Oryctolagus cuniculus: one gene and its partners. The main gene of each other region encodes a partner of the protein of the gene in region 4 in a complex. Links are inferred from orthologs where the notes say so. Each region holds a gene or a part of one and is shown on either strand. Other genes may lie near its edges. The genes, in order: USP39, LSM7, LSM4, TXNL4A, LSM5, LSM8 and PQBP1.

Region 1 (4,236 bases), on a different chromosome or scaffold from region 4:
GGAAGGTATCCAACATGCCACCTCCGACTCAGTGAAAAAAATAGCATAACGAGGTGACTATTTCTGCTTTCAAGAAAATTTTTGTTATCTTCCTACTGAGTCCTAGGCACCCAGAAAAGTACCGCGTATGTAATCGGTACTCAATAAATACTTAAATTTGCTACTACAAATTATTACAACACACAAACTCAACATGAGCTAAGAGCTCTTCATGCATATGCCCACCCTTAAACAACATGCTCTCTGACGTTTCTACAACACGTATTCTACCAGTTTAAATGAAGAACAAGTTCAAGTCCTGGCTCCACTCTGGATCCTAGCTTCCTGTTAATGTACATCCTGGGAGGCAGCCTTTACTACTAAAGGCTCAAGTAGCTAGGTCCCTACCACCCATGTGGGTGACCTGGACTGAGTCCCTGGCTCCCAGCCAGGCATTTAAGGAGTTAACCTACACACGGGCACTCTCTGCCTCTCAAATAAACAAACAGAAATTGTTTATGAACATTGGAGCAGATACTTGGTACAGCAGTTAAGACATCACGTGGGTCGCTCACAGCCATATCAGAACACTGAGTTTGAGTCCCGGCTCTACTTCCAATTCCAGCTTCCTGCTAATTCAAACCCTGGGAAGCAACACATGACAAACAGCTCAAGTACACCCATGCGGGAGACACCAACTGAGCTCCTGACTTTGGCCCGGCCAGCCCTAGTTGTGGGCATTTAAGGAATGAATCAACAGGTAGAAAATACCTCTCTCTCACTCTCTCACTCTCTCTCTCTCTCTCTCTCTGTCTCCCTTTCTTTGCCTTTCAAACAAAGATTAGGCCAAAAAAATGTTTAAAAATTTTATTTATTTATTTTTTATTTATTTGAAAGTCAGTTACACAGAGAGAGGAGAGGCAGAGAAAGAGAGGTCCTCCATCCAGTGGTTCACTCCCCAATTGGCCGCAACAGCCAGAGCTGCGTTGATCAGAAGCCAGGAGCCAGGAGCTTCCTCCGGATCTCCCACATGGGTGCAGGGGCCCAAGCACTTGGGCCATTTTCTACTGCTTTCCCAGGCCATGGCAGAGAGCTGGACTGGAAGTGGAGCAGTAGGGTCTCAAACCGGTGTCCATATGGGATGCCGGCACTCCAGGCCAGGATGTTAAGCTGCTTAGCCACAGCGCCGGCCCCTTAAAAAAATTAATTGAAGGGGCCGGCGCTGTGATGCAGCGGTAGACCCGCTGCCTGCAGTACCGGCATCCCATATGGGAGCTGGATCAGAAGTTGAGCTGCCCATTTAGGATCCCAGCATGAAATCAGGGCTTTATCTGCCACACCACAACACCAGCCCCTTAACCTGTGTCTTAACCACTAAGCTAAAAGACTGGCTCCTCCACTGTTCTGCTACCTCTGGTGTCTTTACCCTACTGACCTGTTAATGGTATCCAGGTACGGGCAGTGGCGGCTCCTCCGGTCCTCAGAATCCACGCGGCCATTCTTCGCTAAAAGGAAAATCACCACAGGCTTTGAAAATGAGAAACCAGTACTCAAGGCCAAACACAGAAGGAAGACACAACTGAAGACACACTAGCACGCAATCCATCAAGATGAGCTCCCCATTAACATAAACTCCTTTCAGAGAGCAACAGCAACCAAAAAAATGTCTGCTAGTGGAATAAGCCTCAAACTAGGAGAATATATTTGGTACACGTATAAACAAAAATCCACTAATCTATTACATAAAGAATTCCATGAAGCATGAGAGATATGAAACATATCACAGGTTACAAGATAAACTGAATGTAACATCCACGAACAATTTAAATAGCATAAATGAATGCCCTTCAATCTAACACTTGCCAAGAACTATAAGGTTTTACTCTATTTGCAGGCTAGGGAGTTAGTCTGGCAGTTTCGTGGATGCTAATGGAAGACCCCCAACTATTGGGTCTGAAACAAAGGAGTCTGTTACAGCAGTAATAGCAGCAGCCAAAAGACAGCCTTGCTATCCATTCCCTTCGTCAGCTCTCACAAGGCAACATTAAGAACCCACGCACAGTGCGCTGCCCGAGAGGGGCAGAATCCTGAGGCTGGAGATCCTAACTCCTTTTTTAAACGGGGCTGTGTGCTGGCCACCTCCTTCGCTCTACTGGGAAACGGCACCTCTGCCCTCCCAGACTGTTCACTATAGGAACACCTTTGACGAGCCAGCCTCTGGTCGCTGTGTGCGCAGAGACGCGGGAAGCCGATGGAGAAGTCTCCCAACACCAGACTGCAAATTACAGCAGGATCCTACAGCTGAGGGCTTATGGGAAAAGTGTTGCTGCTGCTGCTATCAGAAATACTCAAATAACTACGGTTACTAACACTGCCTTCATCGGAACATCTGTATCCCCCTCCCCCATCCAGGCGGGGAAGTAGCAGAAAGTCAAAGACAAAACGGAGATGGCGAAGGTGGGGCTCGCGCCCTGCCCAGCCCGGCCTCGCGCACCTCGCACCTCCCGCTCGGGCTCCGAGTCCTCGTCCGCATCGCGCTCCCGTTTAATCCGCACCACCGGGACGGCGGCCGCCGAGGCCTCGCGCGCGCTCGCCGGCTCGACCTCCCGCTTCACGCGAACCGGGCTGCCGCGGGAGCTCGCCGCCTCCGGCTCCCGCTCCCGATCTCGCTCTCGCTTGACACGACCCGAGCTGCTTCGGGACTCGGACTCGCGCTTCCCGCGGGTGGAACCACGGGACTCCCGCTTGGACCGGGCAGACATCTCCACTACCGGAGAGATCGTCCAGCGCAGGCGCCAGGCACGCGCAAATGCGCGACGCGCAGCCAATCAGGGGCGGGGCCGGTGGAGCCCGCAAAGCTCCCTACGGGTCGCCAACGGGGACAAATCTATGGCGCTACAGAAAATTGTGGGCGGAGTCGCTTCATTCCTGGCATCCTTAGGCTCCGTGCGCTTCTGGGAACGTTTTGTGGGCTAATTTCCTCTTTACCTATCATTTTCAGCCTAAAATAACCTGAACTTTTTCCTGCCTATACGGTTTTATAACTCGCACGAGATACTTAGCGCCTCGGGATGTCGTCTCCCCCAGTCCTGGCTCCTCTGAGACTGACGGCCCTGCACGGGAAAACAAGGCGATAAAGCCCGTGCGGCAACGTGGCAACCCTGATTCCACAACTAGAGGGTTCTAGCTGTCAGCAAAATGCTAAGGCCAATAAAGCTCTAACCTAGGAGCCTGCTATTACCTTGTTTGCTTGTTGGTTTGTTTACATTGGGGGTATAGCTGACCCACAAGGACCTGCACGTTTAACGCGCTCGGTTCGCTCCGTTCCCACGTGGATGCACCGTGACATCGCCACGATCTAGGGGTCCTGTCCGGCCTCAACCCGAGTGAGCCTGTCCTGGGCGGTCCGGAGCTCAAAAACCCTGGGGCTGGTACTGAGCGACTAGAGCAGGGCAGGGGAGGGCCGGGCGAGTCTTCGCGGAGCCGTAGCCTGCCCCAGCACCTGGTCGCCTACACAGCTTATTTGAGAAAGGTGCTCTCCGTGTTCCCATTTACAGGTGAGGAAACTGAGGCACGGCGGGGTCAGCTCAGTTCACGCAGCTGGTGCGAGTAGTGTTCACAGGCGTTAGTAGATGTGCCTTTTTTTCTGAAATTTTTTGATGTACCAACTGTAAGCCGAAGTCCTTGTTTCCTTTTGATGACACAAAACAGCCCCGCCTCCACCCTGTCGGCGCCGCGAACTCCGCGCGCCGCGGCGCTCGGTCCCGCCAGCCCTCCCGCGGCCGGAAGTCGGGACTCCCGGCCGGAAGCTGAGCGCGGGCTGGCTCGGGCCTCCACCGGCGGGAGGGCGGCCGTTGGGGCCGTTGAGGTGGCGGCGACTCTGCGCCCAGGGCTCCAGATGGAGGCGGCCCGGGATCCCGGGCCCAGGCTCTGCTGCAAGCCTGGCGGGCGGCTGGACATGAGCCACGGCTTCGTGCACCACATCCGACGGAACCAGATCGCCCGGTACCTCCCCGCCCCGCGCCACCGCCACCCTTGGCCTGGCCCGGCCGGCTGTCCCTGACTCCCGCTCGGCTCCCCGCAGGGACGACTACGACAAGAAGGTGAAGCAGGCGGCCAAGGAGAAGGTGAGGAGGCGGCACACGCCTGCGCCGACGCGGCCCCGCAAGCCCGACCTGCAGGTGTACCTGCCGCGACATCGAGGTGAGGCCACCCGCCCCGCCGTCTCCTCCAGCCTACGCGCTCTTCCCTTCCACG
Region 2 (4,240 bases), on a different chromosome or scaffold from region 4:
ACCGGGAGACCCCAGCCCCGTCCCCCAGCCCCCGTCGCTGCCAACTCCTGGAGGCCAGAGCGAGCCAGGGGGGGCCCGGAGGCACCCAGCTCTGCAAGACCCACCCGGCGGCTGACCACACGTGCCGGCCCGAGCCCACTGTAGGCCCTTCTCCCCAAGGCGCCCAGTTTTCTTAAAGTGGTTTATTTATCCGAAAGGCAGAGTTACAGAGAGGCAGAGACAGAGAGAGAGGTCCTCCATCCGCTGGGTCACCCCCCAGATGGCCGCATTGGCCGGAGCTGCGCCGATCCGGAGCCAGGAGCTCCATCCGGGTCTCCCACGCGGGTGCAGGGGTCCACCATTGGTCCATCGTCCACTGCTCTCCCAGGCCACGGCAGGGAGCTGATCGGAAGTGGAGCAGCTGGGACTCGAACCCGCGCCCACGTGGGAAGCGGGACCACAGGCGGCGGCTTCGCCCGCTGCGCCCCAGCGCTCACAGAGCAGAGCCACGGCAGGAGGCGGGGCTAGGCCGAGCCGGGGCTGCGGGGGCTCAGAAACGGGGGGTGCTCCCCTCATCCGCCGTCCAGTCCCTCAGTTGTGAGGCGCCCCCCCCACCCCGCAGTGCACGGCCCCGGCCCTGAGATGGCCTCTGACAGGGAGCCCAGGCCAGATGGCTGGGAGCAGGTGCGGGGCCCGGAGCAGCTGGCGCCCGCGGGCCGCAGAGCCCGGTGAGCCCCGTGAGCCAGGGGCCCGGGCTCCAGCGCAGCGCGCGCCTCCCGCGTGCCCCAGCGCCCAGGAGGGAGGGTGCGAGGGGGCGGCGGACGGGGAGGGGTCCCGGGGCCAGGGGCTGAGAAAGCGAGGCGAGCGGGCAGAGGGGCTGCGGCTTTACTGAGCGGGGGCGGGGCTGACCCCGGCGGGCAGGGTCCCGGGGGCGGGGCGGTGCCGACCCAGGCGGGTAGGCGGTCCCGGGGGCGGGGCCGAGCTGGCGGGGGCGGGGCCGGGGCTGACCCAGGCGGGCAGGGTCCCGGGGGCGGGGCCGAGGTGGCGGGGGCGGTGCCGGGGCGGGGCTGACCCAGGCGGGCAGGGTCCCGGGGGCGGGGCGGGGCCGACCCAGGCGGGTAGGCGGTCCCGGGGGCGGGGCTGAGGCCGGCCGCCGGCCTAGGCGTCCTGCTGCTGCACGAAGGGGTTCGGGATGGCCTCCATGCCGTCCTGCGGGCAGATGAGCACCACCGAGGTGCCCCTGCACACCACCAGGCCCAGCTGCCGCGTGTCCTCCGTCAGCTTGTACTGGTCGTCGGGATCTGCGGGCGGGGAGGGCTGAGGCAGGCGGGCGGCGGGCGGCGGCCGGCACCCCGCACGGACAGGGACAGGGACAGGGCCAGGGCCGGGGCCGGGGCCGGGCACAGCAGGCGCAGGGCTGCCGTCAGGGGCGGGGCGGGGCGGGAAGACCGCAACCCCGCGCGGGACCCACCCTCACCGCCCGGCTCCCGCACGGCCTGGGCGTCCCCGGGGGGCGGACCGGCTCACCTCGCATGTGTTCGATGGTGCCGTCCAGCACGAGGTTGAGCAGGGGGTCGAAGCCCTTGAGGATGCCGCTGGCTGGGGCGGGGGGGGGGGGCGTGAGGTCCAGCCCGCCCGCCCAGAGGGGCAGCGCGGGAGCCGGCGCGGGCTGGGACGGCAGGGCAGCGCGGCCCTGGGTGGGGGAGCCAGTGCGCAGCGCGGGACGCCGCGGTGGTCACTGCTATTCGGGTTGCGGCTCCAGCAACCTCAGGCCGCTGCCGCACCTGCGCGCTGGGGCCCCGACCCCACAGGGGAGTGGGTGGGCGGGGTCAGCGACCCAGGCCCCCCGCCTGACCCGGCGCGGGCGGCAGGCGAGTCCCGGGGCGGAACACGGCGACCCCGGCCCACAGCCACAGCAGACAGCTTGTGACACGTGGGCTCGGTGGGCTGGTGAGTGTCCTGGGGGGCCGGCCCCACTCCCCTACCGGGGCCAGCGTGGCGGGGAGAGGCCCTCCCGCCGCTGGGTCACTCCCGAGACGGCCTCAACGGCCGGAGCTGCGCCGATCCGGAGCGAGGAGCCAGGAGCTCCATCCGGGTCTCCCACGCAGGTGCAGCGGCCCCCAGCACCTGGGCCCTCGTGCACCTGCTCTCCCAGGCCACAGCAGGGAGCTGGACCGGAAGTGGAGCAGCCGGGACTCGAACCCGCGCCCCTATCGCACCCTGGGGACCCTGCCCCCACGCGGGAGACCCGGATGCAGCTCCTGGTCCTACCCGGGCTGCGAACCAGAGAGGGGAGTTCTCGCGCCTTTCCGAAATAAATGCATTTCCGTTTCTAGGGCCGCGGTTCCCACGCGTGCAGGCGCGCCCCCTGGCGGGCGCTGGTGATACCGCAGACCCGGGCACCGGCACAAGCAGGGGGTCCCTGGCGGGGGGCCGCGCCCGCGGAGAGGCCCCGGTGCGGGGCGGCAGCGCGCTGGGGAGACGGGGCCGCGCGCGGGCAGAGCTGCGGGGCCGCCTCCGCTGGCCCCCGCGCCCGCCGCCTCCCGACCCGCGAACGCACGGGGCCGGCGGCGGGGAGGGGGCGGCCTCACCTTCGCGGCCTCCCTGGAACTTCACCCGGATCGTCTTGTCGATGTACTTGGACAGGTCCAAGATGCTCTCCTTCTTCTTCTTCTCTTTGTCCTGCGGGGCAAGCAGAGCGCGTGAGGCAGGGGGCGCGGCCCGACTTCAAGCTCCCCGCCCCGGCTCCGCCGCGCGCTCACCGCCATCTTCCCGCCCCGCGCCGCCCCGCGCAGGCGCCGCCCCGCGGCCTTTGACCCCGGGCGCGCGTGCGCATGCGCCGCGCATGCGCGCAGGCGCCGCCGGGGGTGTTGCCGGGAAACATCTGCCGACGGCTGCGGCTGGACCGGCCGACATGGCGGCGGCGCTGGCGCTGGCGCGGCTCGCGGCGGCCTCGCTGCTTTTCGCGGCCCAGGTGAGGCTGCGCCGGCCCTGACAGCCCCGCGGGCCGCGGCTGCTCTGCCCCGGCAGCCCCGGGCCCCGCGTGGCGCCGCGCTCCGCCCGCCCTGGGGCCGCCGCCTCCGGGACCCCGGTCCCCCCGCGTCCCCCGCCGCGGGGCCGGGGCCCTGCCGTGACCTTGCGGGGCTGTGCCGCCCCCGCCGCGGCCGTCCTCGCCCGCCGCGGCCTCTGGCCGGGTCCGCAGTCCCGCGTCCTCCCCACCCGCAGGCCCTGGATGGGTCCCGTGCGTCCGTCTCGGGGGTCTCCCCTGCCGCTGTGGCGCCCACCGCGCTCCGAGCCTCAGTTTCCCCCAGTGCGGCACGCGCGCCCCTGCCCCCAGGGCTGGCGGGAAGGCGTCCCCCGGTGCGGGGCAGCGCCCCGGGCCCCCCGGCCCCCGCGCCGGCGTTTGCTCGGTGACCTTGCATGGGGGGGTCGCACCCCTGCAGGCGCGGGAGGTTGCGGGGCGCGGACAGCCGCCGCGTCCCGGTTTGCGCGGCCCCAGGAGCGGGGTCCCTGGCGGCGCGTCGCCCCCCGGTCTCAGCGGGTGCCCGGAGGCCGAGCCGGCGCCCCGCGCGGGAGGCCCCTCGGGTGGGCGTGGGGCTGGGCCGGGGACTTTGTCCTGGGAGTCCCGGAGGCCGTGTCCGGCCCAGGAGAGCAGGCTCTGCTCCCGGGACGCCGCGGTGCGGGGTGCGGGGTGGAGTTAGGGCCGCTGCGGGGAGGCTGCCCCCGACACCCCCGCGCCCGCCTGCCTCCCCCGCGGATGTGTGGGGCCCCTCGCGGCTGCGCAGGCTGGAGCCCAGCGCCGCCCCCGGAGTGGGGGTACCCCCTGCCCCCCGCCCGGATCCGGGTCCCCTCCACTCCCCCCACCAGGAGTCGGGGTCCCCTCTGCCCCCCACCTGGGGTCAGGGTCCCTCTGCTCCCCCCCAGGAGTCAGGTCCCCTCTGCCCCCCTGCCCGGATCCGGGTCCCCTCCGCTCCCCCCCGTCCGGATCTGGGTCCCCTCTGCCCCCCACCTGGGGTCGGGGTCCCTCTGCTCCCCCCCAGGAGTCAGGTCCCCTCTGCCCCCCTGCCTGGATCCGGGTCCCCTCCACTCCCCCCCTGCCTGGAGTTAGGGTCCCCTCTGCCCCCCCACCCGGATCCGGGTCTCCTTTGCTCCCCCTGCCTGGAGTCAGGGTCCCCCCGCCCCCTGTCCGGATCTGGGTCCCCTCTGCCCCCCACCTGGAGTTAGGGTCCCCTCTGCTCCCCCCCAGGAGTCAGGTCCCCTC
Region 3 (4,083 bases), on a different chromosome or scaffold from region 4:
GAACATTCCAGAACACACGCAGGCCCGGGCCGAGCGGGGACGGCTCCACGCAGGGCCCATAGGCCGCGCCAAGACTTCAGGTCTACGCAAGGCCCGCTCTGCTCATTTTTACCAATAACCGCGCGGATTTACAGGGGTGTGCGCTGGGCGTCCTGGTCAGGGCGGCTGCGTCCCAGGCTGGGGGCCCCCGGGTAGGGCCCGCTCAGCTCCCCGCGCATGCGCGCCCTGGCTGGGAGCCCCGGGATGGCGCTCCGGGCTCTGGGGAGTGACTGCGCACGTGGGACCTCTCTCCCTCCCATAAAGTAAATAAATCACGCGCCTGGCTGGATGAGCCCAGCTGAGGTGCAGATATGACCGCATTCAGAAAGTTCACGGAGGAGCCTGGGGCCTGCAGGGCGCCCGTATCTCTGCCTTTCAAACAACTAAAGGCCGGGCCGAAGCCAGGGCCTCCATCCGGGTCTCCCGCGTGGGCGGTGGGGGCGGGGGCCCAGCGCGGGGCCCTCCCCTCCCCGCTGCCTCCCAGGCCCTCCGCAGGGAGCCGGTGCTCCCGGGATGCTGCGCCTGCGGGGGGCTCCTGGGCCACCCCCTGCCATGGTCTGGGGCCCTGGCCTGTGTGCGGAAGCGCAGGGACCGCGTCCGTCCCAGGGCAGCCCCCCGCCCCAGGGGAGCCGGCGGGCGGACAGCTGGGGGCGCTGTGGAGCTGAGCCCCGGCTCTGACGCAGCTCCTGCGCGGGGCACAGCTGAAGATGACCCAGTGCTCCGGTCACCGGGCCAGGGTGGGGTGGGCGTGACCTGTCCAGGAGGGACCCCCTCCGGGTCTGCCAGGGGCCGCGCGGGCGTCAGAGGACCTGAGTCTGCTCCAACCGGCAGGAACCCCCGCCCCACGCAAGGCGGCTCCGCCAGTGGGCGATGGCCTGCGCCCCCCAGCCTCCTGCGTGAGCTAGGAGGAGACCCCCCCCCCGCCGCGGGCCCTCCCCAGCAGCGCCCCTGGGGGAGGGGAGGCCGGGGGCAGCAGGAAGCCAGGCCCAAGCCCACTTCCTGCCCCGGCTTCCTGGAGGCCGGGCTCAGGAGGAAGAAGGGGCCACGTGGAGAGGGGGCGGCGGTGGGGGCGGGGCGGCCCCTGCTTGTCATCTGGATGCCGTGTGTCGCCAGCCACGCTGGGGCGCAGGGACACAGGGCCTCACGCTGGCTGGGGGTGGGGCTTCTCTCCCCGCCACAGGCACCTGGGCGCTCGCCCCGGCCCGTGACCCCGGCAGGTGGCAGCCACAGCCCCGGGGCCGCCTCCCTCCGCCCCCTGTCACCTCCCTGGGCCAGGCCCAGCTAATGGGCACCCTGGGGCGCGCGGCTGTTTATTTCATTATAGGCTGCAGCCGGCGTCTAATTATCGCGTGTGTTTATTACCTGTCTCCCCGGCTAGACTGGAAAACCCGCAGTGGGCGTGGAGGCTGCCCCCGCGGGAGGGCGCGCGGGCGCGGGGGCCAGGGTAAATATTTGCAGGAGGTTAAGGCAGCACCACCCCGGGCCCGGCGGCCGCCAAGGAAAGGGAGGAGCGGGAGCCACAGGTCCAAGGGGAGGAACTAGGAGCGCCCGCGCGGAGGGGCAGGCGCAGCCCAGGGCGCTTCGCTTCCCCGCAGACCGGCTAGGGACACCCGCGCCCATCCCGAGTCCCGGCTGCTCCACTTCCCGCCCAGCTCGCCGCTAACGCGCCTGGGAAAACAGTGGAAGATGGCCCAAGCGCTCGGGCCCCTGCACCTGCGTGGGAGACCCGGACGGAGCTCCTTGGGGCCCTGCACCTGCGCGGGAGACCCGGATGGAGCTCCTTGGGGCCCTGCACCTGCGTGGGAGACGCGGACGGAGCTCCTTGGGGCCGTGCACCTGCGTGGGAGACCCGGACGGAGCGCCTGGGGGGGCCGGCACCTGCGTGGGAGACCCGGGTGCAGCTCCTGGCCTGGCTCTGCCCCAGCCCCGAGCCGTCTGGGGCTTTTCTGCACCTGCCTTTCCCTCTCTTTCCAGTGCGTAAAAACCAAAGACAAAGACGACACCCAAGGGCTCCTAACTCGGGGCGACCCTCCGTGGGCGCCCCCACCCCAGGCCCCGCCCTGACCACAGGACTCCTGCACCCCTGGGCCAGGAAACTCGGCAGCAGGCGGAAGCTGGGGACTCCCAGGGGCAGTGCCCGCCAGCCGTGGTGGCCAGCCCCGCCGTCAGGCGTGCAGCGGGCGCCGGCCACCGGGCCCCGGCTCTGAGAAACGCACGGCCCCGCTTTGGGGACCCTGCCCTGGGCCGGAAGCCCCCAGCGGCACCCACGAGCCACAGTGCCCGACGGCGGGGTCCCCGCCCCCTCCGGCCTCAGTTTCCCCGTCTGGAAAGTGGACAGCGCGCAGCTGACCTGCTGAGCCTTGATTAACGGCGGCCCAGCCGTGAACCTCGGAGAACAACGTACTGGTGCCCCGGGCGAGGCACCTGCCGTCTCGGGTCAGTTTCCCCGGCTCGGGGCTGGGGGCGGGACTGGACGCTGCGCCCGCACGTCCGGAGCGCACCGCCCCGACCCCCACGGCCCAACCCGAAGGCCGCCGACGGCCGCGTGCCCACCCCCAGCCGCACCCCGCCTCCCGGTCAGACCCCGACGGCGCCCGGCCCTCACCATGGTGTCGGCGGGGACCGGGCTCCCCGGCCACTTCCGCCGCCGCCGCCGCCGATCACGCTGCCGCCGGTCGCCGCCCCGCCGCGCGCCACAAGCCTGAAAAGGAGTGGCAGGAGCGGGAGCCAGTCACCGCGGGGCGACGGGGACGCATAACCAATCCCCGGACAGAAGGGCGGGTCTTCGAAGCACGAGGGGGTGGGACTAACTTCCCGCCAGAAGAATCCGCGACGGAGCCGTAAAGTGCCGTGGCGAGTGATGCAAAAGGGGGCGGAGCAGCGCGCGCCGGCTGCATTGTGGGTAGCTGCGCATGCGCAGAGAGGAGCCGGTCCTGTCGCCCGGGCTCCGCGGTGTGGGCCGGGCCGTGATGGCGCCGGGTTTGCGTCTCGGTCTCGTTCTTGTGCTTGGTTGGAAGTGGGGCGGCCGGGACTCGAACCGGCGGCCCTTAGCGATGCTGGCGCAGCGCAGTCCCCGAACTAGCAGGTGACGTCAATGTGACGTCAGGTGTTTGCGGACTCGAGAGATCGGTTCCCCAGGTGAGCGTGTGGCCCGGATTTGAGGACGCCCGCGGACCAGATCCTAGTTTACTGGGTTCGAGTCCCGGCCCCGGCCACATCCCAGGGCCCGGGTTCGAGCCCCGGCCCCTGCCACATCCAAGGGCCCGGGTTCGAGCCCCGGCCCCTGCCACATCCAAGGGCCCGGGTTCGAGTCCCGGCCCTGGCCACATCTGAGCACCCGGGTTCGAAACCCGGCCCCGGCCCAGGCCATATCCGAGCGCCCTGGGTTCAAGTCCCGGTTCCATCCACATCTCAGCACCCGGGTTCAAGCCCCGGCCCTGCTGGACTGCGCACGCGGACGCTGGCCAGCAGCAGCCGTGGCTCACTGCTTGGGCCCCCGGCGACCCGGAAGGAGTTCCCAGCTCCTGGCTTTGACCTCACCTAGTGGAAGATTCTCCCCCGTCCCTGTGTCTTGCAAATAAACAAAAATAAAGTTTTTAAAGAATAAAAGGTGTGAAGAGAAAGCACACAGGAGAGAGTTTGTGGATTCTGCTTTTTTATTTTTGCCCCCAGATAACCTTAGCTTTCAAGCCCCCTCCCCCGCAGGCCCCGCGGCCCCGCCCAGGGCAGAGCCTGCCCCTCTCTGGAGTCTCCGGGCGCCGGGAGCGGGAGCGCACAGGCCCGGCCCCTCCTACGCGGGGGCCTGGGGCGCTGAAACCCAGGGTCTGCTGCGGCAGAGGCCCGGCCGGCGTAAGCTGGTTCGACGCTGGTTCGAGTCCCCTGGTTCGAGCCCCGGCTCTGCTCTGATGCCGCCAAGGCACCTGGGAGGCGGCGGGTAGGGGCTCTGCCTGTCAAATGACGGAGGGGGGTTGGGGGGAGAGCTTCTGCCCGCTGGTTCCTCCCCAGACGGCCGGTCCGGGCCAGGCTCACGCTGGGTCTCGCAGG
Region 4 (3,216 bases):
GGAGAATAAACCAGTGGATGAAAGATCTCTCCTCTTTTATCATCTGCCTTTCCAACAAATACATAAATATTTTAAAAAGGAAAATAAACCCTCAGACTCTGCAGATGGCAAATACGCTGAAACCAGGCAAGACCAAGGGTGGCAGACCCCAGTCACAAGCGAAAGGGGTGAGCCAGGAACCCCTCCCTGCTCGTGGGGCATCCCGACTCTAACACTGGGGACGGCCGAGAGGGCTACCGCAGGAACCAGGAACAAAGGACCCAGAGGCAGACACGGCTCATGAGGCAGGGAAACTTGGGTACAGGCACCAGTCTGCCGGGCCGTGGATCGGCGCCTCCCTCCCAGTTCTGTTTCCTGGGCCCATCCAGGATGTGGGGCAGTGGACTCCCTTCCCTCTCGGTCTCTCAGGGCCGCACAGGTGCAGTGGTGTCTGCAGAGCCTCAGCCGGCCCGAGGGACGTGAGGCTGCGGCAGAGGCGCCTGCAGGCAGCACACTCCTGGTGGGCGCACACTGAGACCCCACGCCTGTGAGCACTGGAGAGGCCAGGCGGGCTCCCAGTCTTAGCTGATGTGACACACAGACTGCGCTGGACCACCTGAGCCACTCCAGTGCCCAGAGCAGGGCTTCAGGTCCAACTGAGACTGTGAGAGTGACTCGACCGGCCAGCGCCTTCCCAGCCAAGCAGGGCACAGCGACCGCAGACCCACGAGCACAAGGAGCCGGATGAGCCACAGCGGAGAGCAGCCCAGCCGCGGTTCTGCCTCGTGCGACCGAGTCCTGCAGCTGACCCTGCCCAAAGCCTCACCAGCAGGCCTGCGGGCACAGAGCACACACCCCGGCTCTGCTCCCCTTGGGAGGCGCCCATCCCAGAGTGTGGCCGGTGCTCTCACTGCTGCTGGCCAAGCTGTTTCCAAATAACTCAACAGAACTCAGAGCGGAGAAAACATGCTTTAAGCAAAGCCAACTGATAAGGACACTAAACAAAGGTGCTGACGTGGTAACTGGTGAGTGACGCCGGCAGTGAGAGTAACTTCTCTATTTCAATGGCACCCTGCTGGCCTTCCTGGCCACTTTACTTCAAGAGGGGAACTTGTTACTGAGTAAACACGGAAACTGGAACTGTACTTTGACAATTACTGAAGACTCACAGGGATCCCCTGGCCACGTGACCACATAACTGGCTTGCTCCTGCAGGACTGCTGATCACGGCCAAGCTCAGACCACCCGTGCGTGAGGTCAGACATACCTGAAGAAAAACATGACCGTGCACGGGTCGTACAGCTCGTACATCTTGTTGAAGTCGGGCACTTCTGTGATGTCCACAAGATAAATAACCGCAAAATTTTTAACCTACGAGAAAAAGAAATTAAGAAAAACTAAAATTACAGATCCATTTGGCTCTCATTATGTTAAAGCACATTAAAAAAACAAGACTCTGTGTCATAACTGGACAATTTTCAAATGAATTCTCCAGCACTTCCTGCCCAGTAAGCTAGCACACAAGGAAACCACACAACACCGTGAGGAGCTGGCTTCTGACGATTCACTCTGGCGTCTCTCACAGTGCCTTCACAGTGTGGCACTCACGGGAGATCCCGAAAGCCCACTGAGCTGCCACAACTGGGCTTGCATGCTGAGCCACTGCTTTAAACCACACGTGTGCAGACCTCAGCCGTCCACGACCTTCCAGCCGTCCCGGACTGAACATCTGCCAGTACCAACAGGACCCCAGGTGATACTGTACACATTTTCCGTGATTTTTTTCTTTAACTGCAAGTTCATCAGAGAATATATTTAGAGAAAACAGAAAAATATAAAGAAAGTAAAATCACCTCCAGCCTCAATACCCGCAGGTAACTGGTCTAATTCCTCTGTTACATTTCTCTTCTACCTCTTTTCTCTAATTCTTTTGCCACATTTCCCCCCACTTTCAGGGCATGTTAAAAAAAATTCTATGGGACAGTGCTGTGGTGTAGCTGGTAAAGCCACCACCAGCAACACCGGCATCCCAAATGGGCATCAGTTCGAGTCCTGGCTGCTCCACTCCTGATCCAGCTCCCTGCTAATGGCTGGGAAAGCAGCAGCAGATGGCCCAAGTGCTTGGGACCCTGCACCCACGTGGGAGACCTGGAAGAAGCTCCTGGCTTTGGCTTGGTCCAGCCCCTGGCCGTTGTGGAAAACTGGGGAGTGGACCAGTGGATGGAAGATCTCTCTCTTTCAAATAAATAAATCTTTTTTTTTAAATCAACTAGAAAATTTAAAGATTCTATGTGTACTGTTTCTATGAAATGTGATCATACAGTTGTCAGACTACAAGATTACGTATCCTGCTTTCATTGTGATCATTCCCTTAACAAATTACCCATCTTCCAGAAACACAAGCTTCTACATCTTATTTCACCAGTGGCCATGTTGTTACTATCCTGTTACTTTGTTTCTGATTTTTCATGACTCAATCAAATGTTCCATTAACACTAATGCTACCTGTGAACTGTACCCTTATACTGTTTACACACTCCATCATTTCCTAAGGATGAATTCCCAAGAGAACCTCTGGACCATGGAATATGACATCTGTAAGGCTCAAACAAATACTGCCAACACCCTCCGGAAAGCTTACACCACTTCCGTGTGTTGAGCAGGGCTGTGTCCACACTGCTACATATAAGGTCCAACCTCAATGCCGAGCGTGTGACTTCTCCAGGAACAGCAGGTGGGCCCCCATCACCAAGTGCTGCGCACAAGCTGTGGGGCCAAGGAGGACAGGGTGGGTTCCACCCCGTGGAGGAGGCTCTCTCCCAGGTCCTGGGAGCACACCCCTGCCCCTGACTCTGGATGTCAGGTCTCCACACTGTGAGCAGACCCGGCCTGTGACGTTTTCTGGCAGCCATGGGAGACAGGCACCCACCCACATTTCTTTCCAAAGTCACTCTAACATCCAACTCTAACTTACAGATGGGATAATGTGGTAACTGGGATTTGCTTTAAATGCTGCAGCATAATCAGGGCTAGACAACATGAGAATGGCAACGTATTAATAACCACTGCAGCCGAGGACAGGAACAGAGGGCTCATTACACACTCCTCTCTACTCCTGGGAATATCTGGACTCCATGTGTTCTCCAACACCCCACTGAAAGCTCAGAGGCCCCCAGAGTCAACGTGGTCCTTCAGTCAGTTGCTTCTCAGCATCGCCAACCTCCCGGCTTAAAGCGG
Region 5 (4,053 bases), on a different chromosome or scaffold from region 4:
TAAGCACCACCAAGCCACGGCATGAGTGAAGCAACCGGCAACATTACTAGTTAGGTCTGTAAGCCCTGTCCCACAGAAACAGTTTTAACGTGTCTTACCATTGTTATATTATTTCCATTTAGCAAAATCTGATCTAATTTAGTGATCCTTCTTCCTTCCGGTGTGATTTCACTAAATGAAGTGATAAAACAGAAAGTCAGGATAAATGGTGGTAACCAAAGGCAGCATTTTAGAAACACCTTCTCTCTCTAAAAAGGTAATGTTTGTATAAACGAAAGTTCAGCAATTATAAAGGTGATTTTCAGAGATAAAAGTTATCCACTGGGTAATGTACACTCTTCATCAAAAGCAAGAGTAGACCAATGGATATAAATAAGATCCATAGCCAAGGGGGCTGGCACTGTGGCTCAGCAAGTTAAACTGCTGCCTGCAGTGCTGCATCCCATACAGGCACTGGTTTGAGTCCTGGCTGCTCCACTTCCAGTCCAGCTCCCTGCTGATGTGCCTGGGGAGGCAACAGAGGGTGGACCAAGTGCTTGAACCCCTGAACAGATGTGGGAGACCTGGGGAAAGCTCATGGCTCCTGGCTTCAGCCTGGCCCAGCCCTGGCATTGCAGCCCTTTGGGGGAGTAAACCAGCGAATGGAGGATCTCCCTCCTTCCCTCTCTTTCTTTCTCTCTGTAACCTGGCTTTTGAATAAATAAAGCTTTAAAAAAGATTCACAGCCATGAGACTTATCTTCAAAAAAAAAAAAAAAAAAGGTGGAACCTGCCAAGATCAAATATAAAATATTTAGTAGACTCACTCTTTAACATTTTGTATTACTACTGATTTCTACCCACTAAACTACTATGTAACTAATACTTATCACTTACATTTTACATTATATAGTTAAATGTTTTCATCATCAGGTCCTTGATATGACCTGAGCCTTAAAATCCCTGCACGTTAACATCTGTTACCTTCAAGCTTTGTCTCCACTAATTTCCTAGCAATTCAGCAACAATTACATAACTTTTACAAGCATTAGTAAATAAAAGTTGCCTCTACTTCCATTTTGCTGACTAAACAGTACTTAAAATGTCCTGAATTTGAAAAAGAGCCGAGTTCTGTCATTTTTAGCACTACTCACAATTCAGTGACATCTTCCAATACCATATCTGAAAGGTGGTGTTAAGGAAATAAACACTCCAGGTTGAAACAACTCTGGTTTCTGCTTTCATTCAGTTGTAATGATAATATTTAACACAAAGGCTCATAATAAAAAGGCTGACTGTTGGTAGGAATGTGACCTTCTTCCAGTATACTCACCTCTGAAAACACCATCACAAGTGCCCTGAGATGAACTGACTTTTATCGTTAACACCCAGAAACACACTGTCTACGGTTCTGTTATTAAATAAACAGGAAAAAGCCACAGCACCACGTTTTAAAAGGATACTGACGAAGTCATCGAAGCCAAGAAGGGTGCCAACAATTTCCTTATCACTCTTCATCACAATGTGAATTCTGGATCCTATACATTTATCCACAAGCTCTGCGTGAGCAAAAAGATTATTTTACCCATTCATCATTTTAGCACATACTCGAGTGCACGCTGGCATTTGTTACTTGCCAAATTCAGTGAAAATTAAACTAGGAAGAACATCCCCCTTTGGTAACCTCGGATCTTAAAATGCAAACCTCTGCGCTCCCACTACTTAATCAGAAGCCTTTCCACTTCTCCTTTCTGTGCAGCAATCTATCATGATTGTGGCTTTATCTTTATTCCAGATCACGTGATTAATTTAGGGACACAAACACATCCCCCCAGACTCTTAAGCGCCACGAGCCCGGACACTGTGCTCATTTTCGCCCATCGCTGGATCTTCAGTGGACAGGGACGGGCATTTACGGGGCTTTCCACGAGCCTAATCACTGAAGTCCGTCAACGCAACCACTCCTCGCCGGCTACACAATGTCAGAGGCCGCTGACCGTCGTCGCGGGAGCCTCCTGTCACCTCCTCCCTCGCCAGTGAAGCCCCGCGGTGCTGGGGGCAGCTTCAGCACCTCTGGCCAGCCTGGCACGGGGGGCACAAGGTTTACTTGTCCAGTACTGTCTCCTCCACTGGCTTGTGTACCCTTCGGGAGCGATGGCTGTGGTTTAAGGTCGCTGTGGACTAGCACGCAGGAAGAACACGGGCTCTTACTGAATGGATGGATGAATGAATGAATGAATGGCAAACAGGGCTAGTTTCCAGATTCCTCCTCTAAGGCTCGTTCCACAGCGCGCTGCTTCCCGCTCAACTCCCAGACACACAACAGGGTGAACCCCATCTGGGGATCCCAAATGCCACTCCGGACACGGCGCCGCAGCGCTCCCAACAAACACGGCCGACGGTGCGCTCGCCCAGTGCGGCCCTCTCCCGCCCACGGTTCGTTCCGGGGGAGTCCGAGGAGCTGCCTCCAGGGGCAGGAGCACGTTACATCGCAGCAGCGGCCTGGCGCGCAGGAGCTCGGGAGCCGGCGCGAGCCGCGGAGGGGAAACGCTCGGCCCCACACATAGGCCCGCTACCAGCCAGGGGTGCCTCGGCCGCAACCCCGCGGCCCCCAGTCCTGAACCCCAGCCTCCCGCCCCAGCTCCCTCACAGGAAAACCATTACCTAGCGGCAGCAGCTGCGAGGGGTTCGTAGTAGCGTTAGCCGCCATGGCTACGCCGGAAGTGGCCTGCGTCCATCGACGTTCCACGGTGACTTTAAAAGAGCGCGCCTGCGCCTTTGCCCGCGGCCGGGCAGGCTCGACCAATCGCAGGCCGAGCGGGCGGCCGGCGTGCTCCACGTGGGCGGCGCCCGCGCGCTGCCTTGCTGGGGAGTGGGAGTCCTGGGGTGCTGCCCTGCAGATTCGTTCCCAGGCTTCGGAGAGACGCTGAAGATTGCTAACCTCCTGAAGGAGTTCGTCCTCCGACCGAGAGGACAGCGCATAAGGAAACTTTTGGCTTGTTTTCCCATAAAATTGTCTTTATAAAGACTAGTAAAAATCAGTATTTCCCGCCACCAATTCACTCTTTGACAGAGTTACAGTGAGAGAGACAGAGAGAGGTCTTCCGTCCGCTGGTTCACTCCCCAAATGGCCCCAACGGCCGGAGCTGGGCCGATCCGAAGCCAGGAGCCAGGAGCCTTCCCTGGGTCTCCCACGCCGGTGCAGGGGCCCAAGGACTTGGACCATCTTCCACTGCTATCCCAGGCCATAGCAGAGAGCTGGATCGGAAGAGGAGCATCTGGGAATACAACTGGTGCCCTTATGGGATGCCAGCACTGCAGGCGGAGGATTAACCTAGTGTGCCACAGCACCGGCCCCAAAAACATTCCTTTTCTTGAGGCTTCTGTCCCGGTTGCTCCTCTTCCAGTCCAGCTCTCTGCTGTGGCCAGGGAGTGCAGTGGAGTATGGCCCAAGTGCTTGGGCCCTGCACCAGCATGGGAGACCAGGAGAAGCACCTGGCTCCTGGCTTCAGATCAGCGTGGTGCACCTGCCGCAGTGCGCTGGCAGCAGCGGCCATTAAGGGGTGAACCAACGGATAAAGGAAGACCTTTCTCTGTCTCTCTCTCTCACTGTCCACTCTGCCTGTCAAAAAAAAAAAAAAAAAAAAGTAAAAGAGGGGCCAGCGCTGTGGCGTAGCAGGTAAAGGCTGCCTACAATGCCGACATCCCATATGGACTCCGGTTCAAGACCAACTGCTCCTCTTCCAATCCAGCTCTCTGCTGTGGCCTGGGAAAGCAGTAGAAGATGGCCCAAGTCCTTGGGCCCTGCACCTTTGTGGGAGACCTGGAAGAAGCTCCTGGCTCCTGGGTTCGGATCAGCACAGCTCCAACCCTTGTGGTCATCTGGGGAGTGAACCAGTGGATAGTGCCTCTTCCTCTCTGTAGTTCTGCCTTTCAAATAAATAAGTAAATCTTTTTTTTTCAAAATGGTTTACACATTTTTTTTTAAATGTAAAATTTTGTTTTATACTGAGGATTTATAATAGCTTTTTCCTTTTAACTTGTTGCTACTTTCTTAATTTATCATCCTTGCTGT
Region 6 (2,616 bases), on a different chromosome or scaffold from region 4:
CTTATCAACTGTGGCTCCTTAAGAATGCTAACATAAAAGGGGACTTCAAAAAGTTTGTAGAAATTACTTTCTTGCTAACATACCAGGGACAGCAATGGACAATGCCCCTAGTAGTTGGGTTACTGTTGCTCTTACGGGAGACCACGATGGAGTCCCTGCTTCCTGGCTTCAGCCTGGCCAAGAGCTGGCTATTGAGGCCATTTGGGAAGTGAACCAGTGGATGAATTCTCTGTGTCTCTCCCTCTCTCTCCATCACTCTCTATCTTTCAAATAAATAAACCTTAAAAAAAAAAAAAAAAAACCTGTGGAAACACAAAATCAAAAATATATTTTGGTGCAAAAAAGCCACTGGCAATCCACACTTTCTTCATAATACAAATTTTTCCACAAACTTTTTGTGCCCTAAAATTCTGCACCAAAATAAATTCACTTTTAATACCTTTTCCAAAAATTTTTTGAAATCTCATCCAGAGTTACAGGTAGAGGGAGGAGGAAAGAGGGAAAGAGAAAAGGAGAGGGAGAAGGAGAGAGGGAGGGAGATCTTCCATCCACGGGTTTACTCTTCAAATGGCTGCAATGGTCTGGGCTGGGTCAGGCCAAAGCCAGGAGCCAAAAACTTCTTCCAGGTCTTCCACACGGGTATAGGGACCAAAGCAGTTGGGTTATCCTCTGCTGCTTTCCCAGGAGCATTAGCAAGGAGTTGGATCAGAAGTGGAGCAGACGGGATTGGAACCCTTATGGGATGCTGGCGCCGCAGGCAGCAGCTTTACCTATGCCACAGCGCCAGCACTCTCCACTTCACCGCTTGTATAATTTTAAGATGTCTAAAAAGGACGTATTTTACTTACACATTGTCACCTCTTACGATGTATAACCCTAGTACCACTTGTTCTACTCCCTGTGATGAGCTGAATACTCGTTCATGGCTTTCATCCAAAATCAAATTAATGGTCTGGTCAAAGCCTTTCAGTGTTCCCTGTAAAAACATAAAGGACAAAAATACAAATATTTTATTTTACTTGAATGTGTATATTCAACCTTACAACCATTTAGTCATCAACAGACAGAAGTTGTCTATTTTATGTAATAAGTCCACTATCAAATAAACTGACTTCTTTTAAACAAGGGAGATTTGAAGGAAAACAATATATATATATATATATAGTTGTCTATTTTATGTAATAAGTCCACTGTCAAACTGACTTCTTTTAAACAAGGGAGATTTGAAGGAAAACAATATATATATATATATACATATATATTTAAAAATAAGGAAGAAACATACAGACCAGCTACAGCAAAGTAACACACTGTATGCTACAAACCAGGACTAGGTACTGTGCCCAACACACTGCACATACTATATCAACTAATCTGTACCCTTTGAGTTCATACTGTAATATCCCTATCTCAAAAAAGAAAAACTAAGGCACTTTCTCAAGGTCTCATGGGTGGTAAGTATCAGAACGAAGACCTGAAACCACAAAAGGCTAGCACCAACGCCAGACCAAATGAAGTATACTATTCTATCCTAACCAACTAAATTAATTTGCTGCTTTTTCAGAGTCAAATCAGTCATATTAATATATGCAAATTTCAGCCGGTGCCGCGGCTCACTAGGTTAATCCTCCGCCTGTGGCGCCGGCACACCGGGTTCTAGTTCTGGTCGGGGTGCCGGATTCTGTCCCGGTTGCCCCTCTTCCAGGCCAGCTCTCTGCTGTGGCCCGGGAGTGCAGTGGAGGATGGCCCAAGTGCTTGGGCCCTGCACCCCATGGGAGACCAGGAGAAGCACCTGGTTCCTGCCATCGGGTCAGCGTGGTGCACCGGCCACTGGCCGCGGCGGCCATTGGAGGGAGGACCAACGGCAAAAGGAAGACCTTTCTCTCTGTCTCTCTCACTGTCCACTCTGCCTGTCAAAAAAAAAAAAAATGCAAATTTCAATTGGTAATAACAGCTAACACTTAATAAACAATTACTAGTTGCCAGTATTCTGAGCCTCGTGTATTTATTATTATTAAATTCTCTATAGGTACAACTAGGCTTTGGATAAAGGAAAACAAAGATACAATACAATTCAGTAACTCAAAAGCTAATTTCCTTTCTGAAGAAACATCAGCTTATAATGGTTTGTGTTGGTTAAATCTCAAGCTCACTATAAATGATTGCATGTTCTCAAAGTCATATACATAAAGTCAGAATGACAGAGAAACCCAGGACCTAGAATTTGGAAGCAAGATAATGGAGTATCTGGCTATACTAGTTAGCAAGTGGTAGTTATCACAAGCATTCACCCATAATCTCTTATGTAACTACTCATTCTATGAAGTGAATTATCAATCAATACAGAACTACAGGGGAGACATATGGCCTAGTGGTTAAGATGCCCATGTTCCACATCAGAGTACCTCAGTTTGATACCCAGCTCCTGACTCCAGCTTCCTGCTAATGTGGACCCTGGCAAGAAGCACATGATGGTTCAATTAAGTGGGTTCCTGCCATCCACACAGAACTGGATTGAGTTCCCTGCTCCTGCCCTGGCCCAGCATTGGTTGTTACAGGCATTTGAGGAGTGAACTAGCAATATGGGAGCTCTCTGTTTGTCTCTGCCTCCCCAAA
Region 7 (4,030 bases), on a different chromosome or scaffold from region 4:
TAGGTGAATAGGGACCAGAAGAAGTTAAGTGCATTGGCCTGGCAGCTCCAAGCAGCTTTTAGAGTAGCGTCCTATGTGGGCAAGGCTGCTGACCCCCACACCACCCGGTGGGCCAGGACTCACAACAGGGGCGTTGCGGAAACCCTTGATGGCCTGGAAGACTCCGCCGCCGATGACACCCATGGTGAAGGCTCCACCGCAATCATCCACAATTCGCCATGGGCTGAAAAACCGGAAGGGAAGGTTGGGGTTAATGGGAGCCCCTCCCCTCCCTGGACTCTCTCCAAGTGGGAGAAACCAGTCACTGGAATGGCAAGTTTGTGAGTGAGAAGAAACACTTCAGATAACAACGAGCTAGTTCTGTCATTCTTTTTCCCTGATGAAATCGAGAAATGGGGCAAAAGGGGAAAAATAATAGTCTCTGCCTTGATCACCTTTTGCAGGCATCCAAGGAATCAGCCAATTACTTTACTAGCAAATATTAAATGAACTGAGGCATGTAGAGTTGGCGCATTTCAGTAAGGGTTACGGAAGTGTTAACTGGCTAGTTATTAAAAACGAGGTGACAGCCCCTTCTGGGACAGTGGCATCCAACCAAGCCTTGTCCCCTCCTCCTCTTAAACCAAGCACAACTGAGAAAAACCCAGAGGCCCGTTGGGAAAATCCAGCACCCCTCCTCACCCACAATAGGTTCACGCATGCCCCGCCCCGATTCACACAAGCGACCTGGGAAAAACCATGCGTGCCACCCTCCACCCACGCTGGAATGGACTGGACCAGCGTCTCTGCTCGCTAACAAAGAGGAACAGGAGCCACAAAGCCAGGGACAACATGGCGTGGTTCGTCCTGTACCGCCCCTTCTCTGGGCACACAGTTGTGGCCCCTTTTAAAGAACCCCGAAAGGAAGGAAGTACAGGGAGCGGAAGGCGAGAAGATTCTAAGTCTCCCTAATCTGGGACGCCGCACTGTGCGGCCGGTGCCTCCCCCGCCCGCCTCCCATGGCTGGTCTTGGGGCAGCAACAGTCCCGATGCCTGTGCCCATCGCCGTACCAAGGCTCCCGAGCATACTCCTCCATGGCGCCGGCGTCTGGAGGCACAGTCAGGCCCGAATCCTGTGGGCCACGCCCCCAGTGGAAACGCACCACAGGCGCTCTAGCTCTTCGCCTATCCCAGGACAGCGATTGGGTGGCTTCGCCACGTCAAACGCAGGACGCTTCTCATTGGACACCCAGGATAACGTCATCTTTCCACTGCAGTCCCAGCGTCTTCCAGTTACGTCTTGGCTCGGGTATTGAGTACGCCGTTGTGTGCTTTGGGGGAAACGAGTGGTGTGGTCCTGGTGATCAGAGCAGTGGCGAGAGGAAGGAGGCTGTTCTTTCTACCTGCCCGACTGTACTGGTAACGCGGGGAGGGGGAGGGGGGCATGGTTTTGCAGAGCTGGAGGAAGGGCTGCATTCCGCTCCCCCACCCCAGGGCTTTGGTTTTTCCCACCCAGCAGTCTTTGAGGGAGGTTGGGTGAGCCAGTTTCTGAAGCTGCGCTTGGCGCCTTTGGCGGTGGGTGGAGCCCGGGAGAGGAAGTGGATCCTGGAGCTCCGGGCCTAGTAAGTGAGCGGCTGGAAGGAGTTTTGTGACATTTGCAAGCCTCTTGTCTCTCGTGTTTTAGCGCATAGGTTGAGTCCGCCCAGCTAGCTCCTGGTGTATTTGGGAAGGTGAGAGTCCGATGAGTACATGCTACGGGAGGGATGAGCTCTGGGTTATGGGATCCAGATTTGAATCCTCATCAGTCTGTCTGTCCCCAGATCTGTCACCCGCTATGCCGCTGCCCGTCGCGCTGCAGACTCGCTTGGCTAAGAGAGGCATCCTCAAACATCTGGAGCCTGGTAAGAGAGCTAAGAGCAGATGGGCGTATCATGTATCAAGCCTGATAGGCCCTTTTTTCATTGATATGGACACTAAACACTCAGCGTGGACCTTCTGTGCTCTAAGCCGTGGCATGGCAAGGATTCCTGATGTCCATTCCTTTTGCAAACCATGCAATGTGTGTGTTTGTGGGGGGAGGGGGAGGTTGAAAAGATGCATATTTCATTCTTAACAATACACAACACTGATGCAAATTTCGGGCCTCCACGAATCACATGGAGGTAAATGCATAGTATTTAATAGGCTATGTGTCAAGTCCAGGATGTTGTTGTTTTTTTCGACTTACTCATTTGGGGCTGGTGCTGTGGTGTAGCGGGTAAAGCTGCCATCTGCAGTGCCGGCTTCCCAAATGGGCTGGTTCAAGTGCAGCCTGTTCCATTTCCAATCCAGCTCTCTGCTGAGGCCTGGGAAAATAGTGGAAGATGGCCCAAGTCCTTGGGCCCCTGCACCCGTGTGGGAGACTGGAAAGAAGCTCCTGGCTCCTGGTTTTGGATCAGCGCAGCTCTGGCCATTGTGGCCATCTGGGGAGTGAACCAGCAGATGGAAGACCTCTGTCTCTCTCTCTCTCTCTTTCTGCCTCTGTGTATCTCTCTCTCTGCCTCTGCCTCTCTGTAACTCTGACTCAAATAAAAATCTTTTTTTTTTTTTTTTGACAGGCAGAGTGGACAGTGAGAGAGAGACAGAGAGAAAGGTCTTCCTTTGCCGTTGGTTCACCCTCCAATGGCCGCCATGGCCGGCACGCTGCGGCCTGCGCACCGCTCCGATCCGATGGCAGGAGCCAGGCGCTCCTCCTGGTCTCCCATGGGGTGCAGGGCCCAAGGACTTGGGCCATCCTCCACTGCCTTCCTGGGCCACAGCAGAGAGCTGGCCTGGAAGAGGGGCAACCGGGACAGAATCCGGCGCCCCGACCGGGACTAGAACCCGGTGTGCCGGCGCCGCTAGGTGGAGGATTAGCCTATTGAGCCGCGGCGCCGGCCTCAAATAAAAATCTTTTAAAAATATTTTAAAGAAAAGATTTATTTATTTGAAAGGTAGAGTTACAGAAAGGCAGAGAGAGAGAGAAAACTCTTCAATCCTCTGGTTCACTCCCCAAATGGCTGCAATGGCTGGAGCCGTGCCCATCCAAAGCCAAGAACCAGGAGCTTCTTCCTGGTCTCCTGTACGAGTGCAGGGGCCCAAGGACTTGGGCCATCTTCTGCTTTCCCAGCCCACAGCAGAGAGCTAGATGAAAAGTGGAACAACAAGGACTCGAACTGGCACCCATATGGGATGCCGTTGCTGCAGGTGGATGCTTAACAAAGTTGCAGGCAGATGATTAACCTACTTTGTCACAATATCAGGCCCCAGGATGTTGCTTTTGTTTACCATACTGATAGAATGTATTTTAGAAGTGCTGTGTTGGAAACAGAGTTAACATGTATTTTAGACCACCCAAAATGCCTGAAATGCACATGATGGTTAGCACTGAGGGTGTTTCCAAAAGTTTGTGGAAAAATGAAAAGGTGAGTTTAGGGACAGCTGTTTGGCTTAGTGGTTAAGCCAGTTGTCAGGGTACCTAGCAGGTGCCTAGGTTCAGTTTCCAGCTCTGGCTCCTGCCTTGAGCTTCCTGTTAATGCAGACCCCCAGGAGGCAGGGTGATGGCTCAAGTAATGGGTTTCCTGCCACCCACATGGAAGACCTGGTTTGACTTCCTGGCTCCCAGGATCAGCCTCACTGCTGGGCACTTGGGGAGTGAACCAGAGGGTAGGAGTGCTCTCATGCTCATTCTCTCTCTCAAGTAGATAAGTAAATATTTTAAAAAGTAAGTTTAACTTGGTGCAAAAGAAATTAAATCTGTGCATAGTTTTTCCATAATATGTATTTTTCATGAACTTTTTATATAAAATGACAGGATTTCTTATATAGGCTTATTATATTGCTGGCTGCTAATTCCACCTACTATCACTAATAGAAAAGCTGGCATCTATTTTGGGCTATAGTGTGCTAGGCACTAGAAACTACATCTATTGTCACCTTATTGATGACCGATGTCTATTACAAACCTAGTGTGCTAGAAGGCAGGCTTTTGGCCTAGCACTTGAAATGCTGCTCAGGATGCTCACATTCATAT

What was found.
Region 1: TXNL4A (region 4) and USP39 share a complex: the UniProt entries of both Homo sapiens proteins name them as parts of the U4/U6-U5 tri-snRNP complex. The link is inferred for Oryctolagus cuniculus from reciprocal best matches to the Homo sapiens genes TXNL4A and USP39.
Region 2: TXNL4A (region 4) and LSM7 share a complex: the UniProt entries of both Homo sapiens proteins name them as parts of the precatalytic spliceosome. The link is inferred for Oryctolagus cuniculus from reciprocal best matches to the Homo sapiens genes TXNL4A and LSM7.
Region 3: TXNL4A (region 4) and LSM4 share a complex: the UniProt entries of both Homo sapiens proteins name them as parts of the precatalytic spliceosome. The link is inferred for Oryctolagus cuniculus from reciprocal best matches to the Homo sapiens genes TXNL4A and LSM4.
Region 5: TXNL4A (region 4) and LSM5 share a complex: the UniProt entries of both Homo sapiens proteins name them as parts of the precatalytic spliceosome. The link is inferred for Oryctolagus cuniculus from reciprocal best matches to the Homo sapiens genes TXNL4A and LSM5.
Region 6: TXNL4A (region 4) and LSM8 share a complex: the UniProt entries of both Homo sapiens proteins name them as parts of the precatalytic spliceosome. The link is inferred for Oryctolagus cuniculus from reciprocal best matches to the Homo sapiens genes TXNL4A and LSM8.
Region 7: the proteins of TXNL4A (region 4) and PQBP1 are in contact, whole or in part, in a crystal structure (PDB 4BWQ), measured with the Homo sapiens proteins. The link is inferred for Oryctolagus cuniculus from reciprocal best matches to the Homo sapiens genes TXNL4A and PQBP1. Residues at the interface, in NP_006692.1 of Homo sapiens: Gly11, Trp12, Val14, Asp15, Ile18, Asp68, Phe69, Met72, Tyr73, Glu74, Met82, Phe84, Asn87, His89, Met91, Gly97, Asn98, Asn99, Asn100, Lys101, Leu129; in NP_001027553.1 of Homo sapiens: Gln241, Gln242, Arg243, Pro244, Tyr245, Pro246, Ser247, Pro248, Gly249, Val251, Leu252, Ala254, Asn255.

What each region holds. Positions count from the first base shown.
Region 1 is NC_091433.1:117,039,207-117,043,442, forward strand, and holds the start of USP39 (ubiquitin carboxyl-terminal hydrolase 39), read right to left. Parts: upstream 2,801-4,236; 5' UTR 2,742-2,800; coding exon 2,474-2,741; intron 1,485-2,473; coding exon 1,415-1,484; intron 1-1,414. Other genes in the region: C2H2orf68 (UPF0561 protein C2orf68 homolog), read left to right, coding at 3,878-3,984, 4,064-4,182.
Region 2 is NC_091447.1:59,144,838-59,149,077, forward strand, and holds LSM7 (U6 snRNA-associated Sm-like protein LSm7), read right to left. Parts: upstream 2,801-4,240; 5' UTR 2,748-2,800; coding exon 2,742-2,747; intron 2,662-2,741; coding exon 2,571-2,661; intron 1,579-2,570; coding exon 1,507-1,578; intron 1,281-1,506; coding exon 1,138-1,280; 3' UTR 1,094-1,137; intron 992-1,093; 3' UTR 168-991; downstream 1-167. Other genes in the region: SPPL2B (signal peptide peptidase-like 2B), read left to right, coding at 2,825-2,953. UniProt on the Homo sapiens protein: Plays a role in pre-mRNA splicing as component of the U4/U6-U5 tri-snRNP complex that is involved in spliceosome assembly, and as component of the precatalytic spliceosome (spliceosome B complex).
Region 3 is NC_091447.1:65,595,513-65,599,595, forward strand, and holds the start of LSM4 (U6 snRNA-associated Sm-like protein LSm4), read right to left. Parts: upstream 2,801-4,083; 5' UTR 2,648-2,800; coding exon 2,645-2,647; intron 289-2,644; exon of another isoform or gene 113-288; intron 1-112. UniProt on the Homo sapiens protein: Plays a role in pre-mRNA splicing as component of the U4/U6-U5 tri-snRNP complex that is involved in spliceosome assembly, and as component of the precatalytic spliceosome (spliceosome B complex).
Region 4 is NC_091441.1:294,906-298,121, reverse strand, and holds part of TXNL4A (thioredoxin-like protein 4A), read right to left. Parts: intron 1,351-3,216; coding exon 1,247-1,350; intron 1-1,246. UniProt on the Homo sapiens protein: Plays a role in pre-mRNA splicing as component of the U5 snRNP and U4/U6-U5 tri-snRNP complexes that are involved in spliceosome assembly, and as component of the precatalytic spliceosome (spliceosome B complex).
Region 5 is NC_091447.1:23,533,065-23,537,117, forward strand, and holds the start of LSM5 (U6 snRNA-associated Sm-like protein LSm5), read right to left. Parts: upstream 2,801-4,053; 5' UTR 2,689-2,800; coding exon 2,643-2,688; intron 1,538-2,642; coding exon 1,442-1,537; intron 1,161-1,441; coding exon 1,133-1,160; intron 172-1,132; coding exon 99-171; intron 1-98. UniProt on the Homo sapiens protein: Plays a role in pre-mRNA splicing as component of the U4/U6-U5 tri-snRNP complex that is involved in spliceosome assembly, and as component of the precatalytic spliceosome (spliceosome B complex).
Region 6 is NC_091434.1:153,851,217-153,853,832, reverse strand, and holds part of LSM8 (LSM8 homolog, U6 small nuclear RNA associated), read right to left. Parts: intron 977-2,616; coding exon 849-976; intron 1-848. UniProt on the Homo sapiens protein: Plays a role in pre-mRNA splicing as component of the U4/U6-U5 tri-snRNP complex that is involved in spliceosome assembly, and as component of the precatalytic spliceosome (spliceosome B complex).
Region 7 is NC_091453.1:34,073,571-34,077,600, forward strand, and holds the start of PQBP1 (polyglutamine-binding protein 1), read left to right. Parts: upstream 1-1,230; 5' UTR 1,231-1,398; intron 1,399-1,508; exon of another isoform or gene 1,509-1,601; intron 1,602-1,663; exon of another isoform or gene 1,664-1,709; intron 1,710-1,799; 5' UTR 1,800-1,813; coding exon 1,814-1,880; intron 1,881-4,030. Other genes in the region: TIMM17B (mitochondrial import inner membrane translocase subunit Tim17-B), read right to left, coding at 124-223, 1,051-1,076. UniProt on the Homo sapiens protein: Intrinsically disordered protein that acts as a scaffold, and which is involved in different processes, such as pre-mRNA splicing, transcription regulation, innate immunity and neuron development.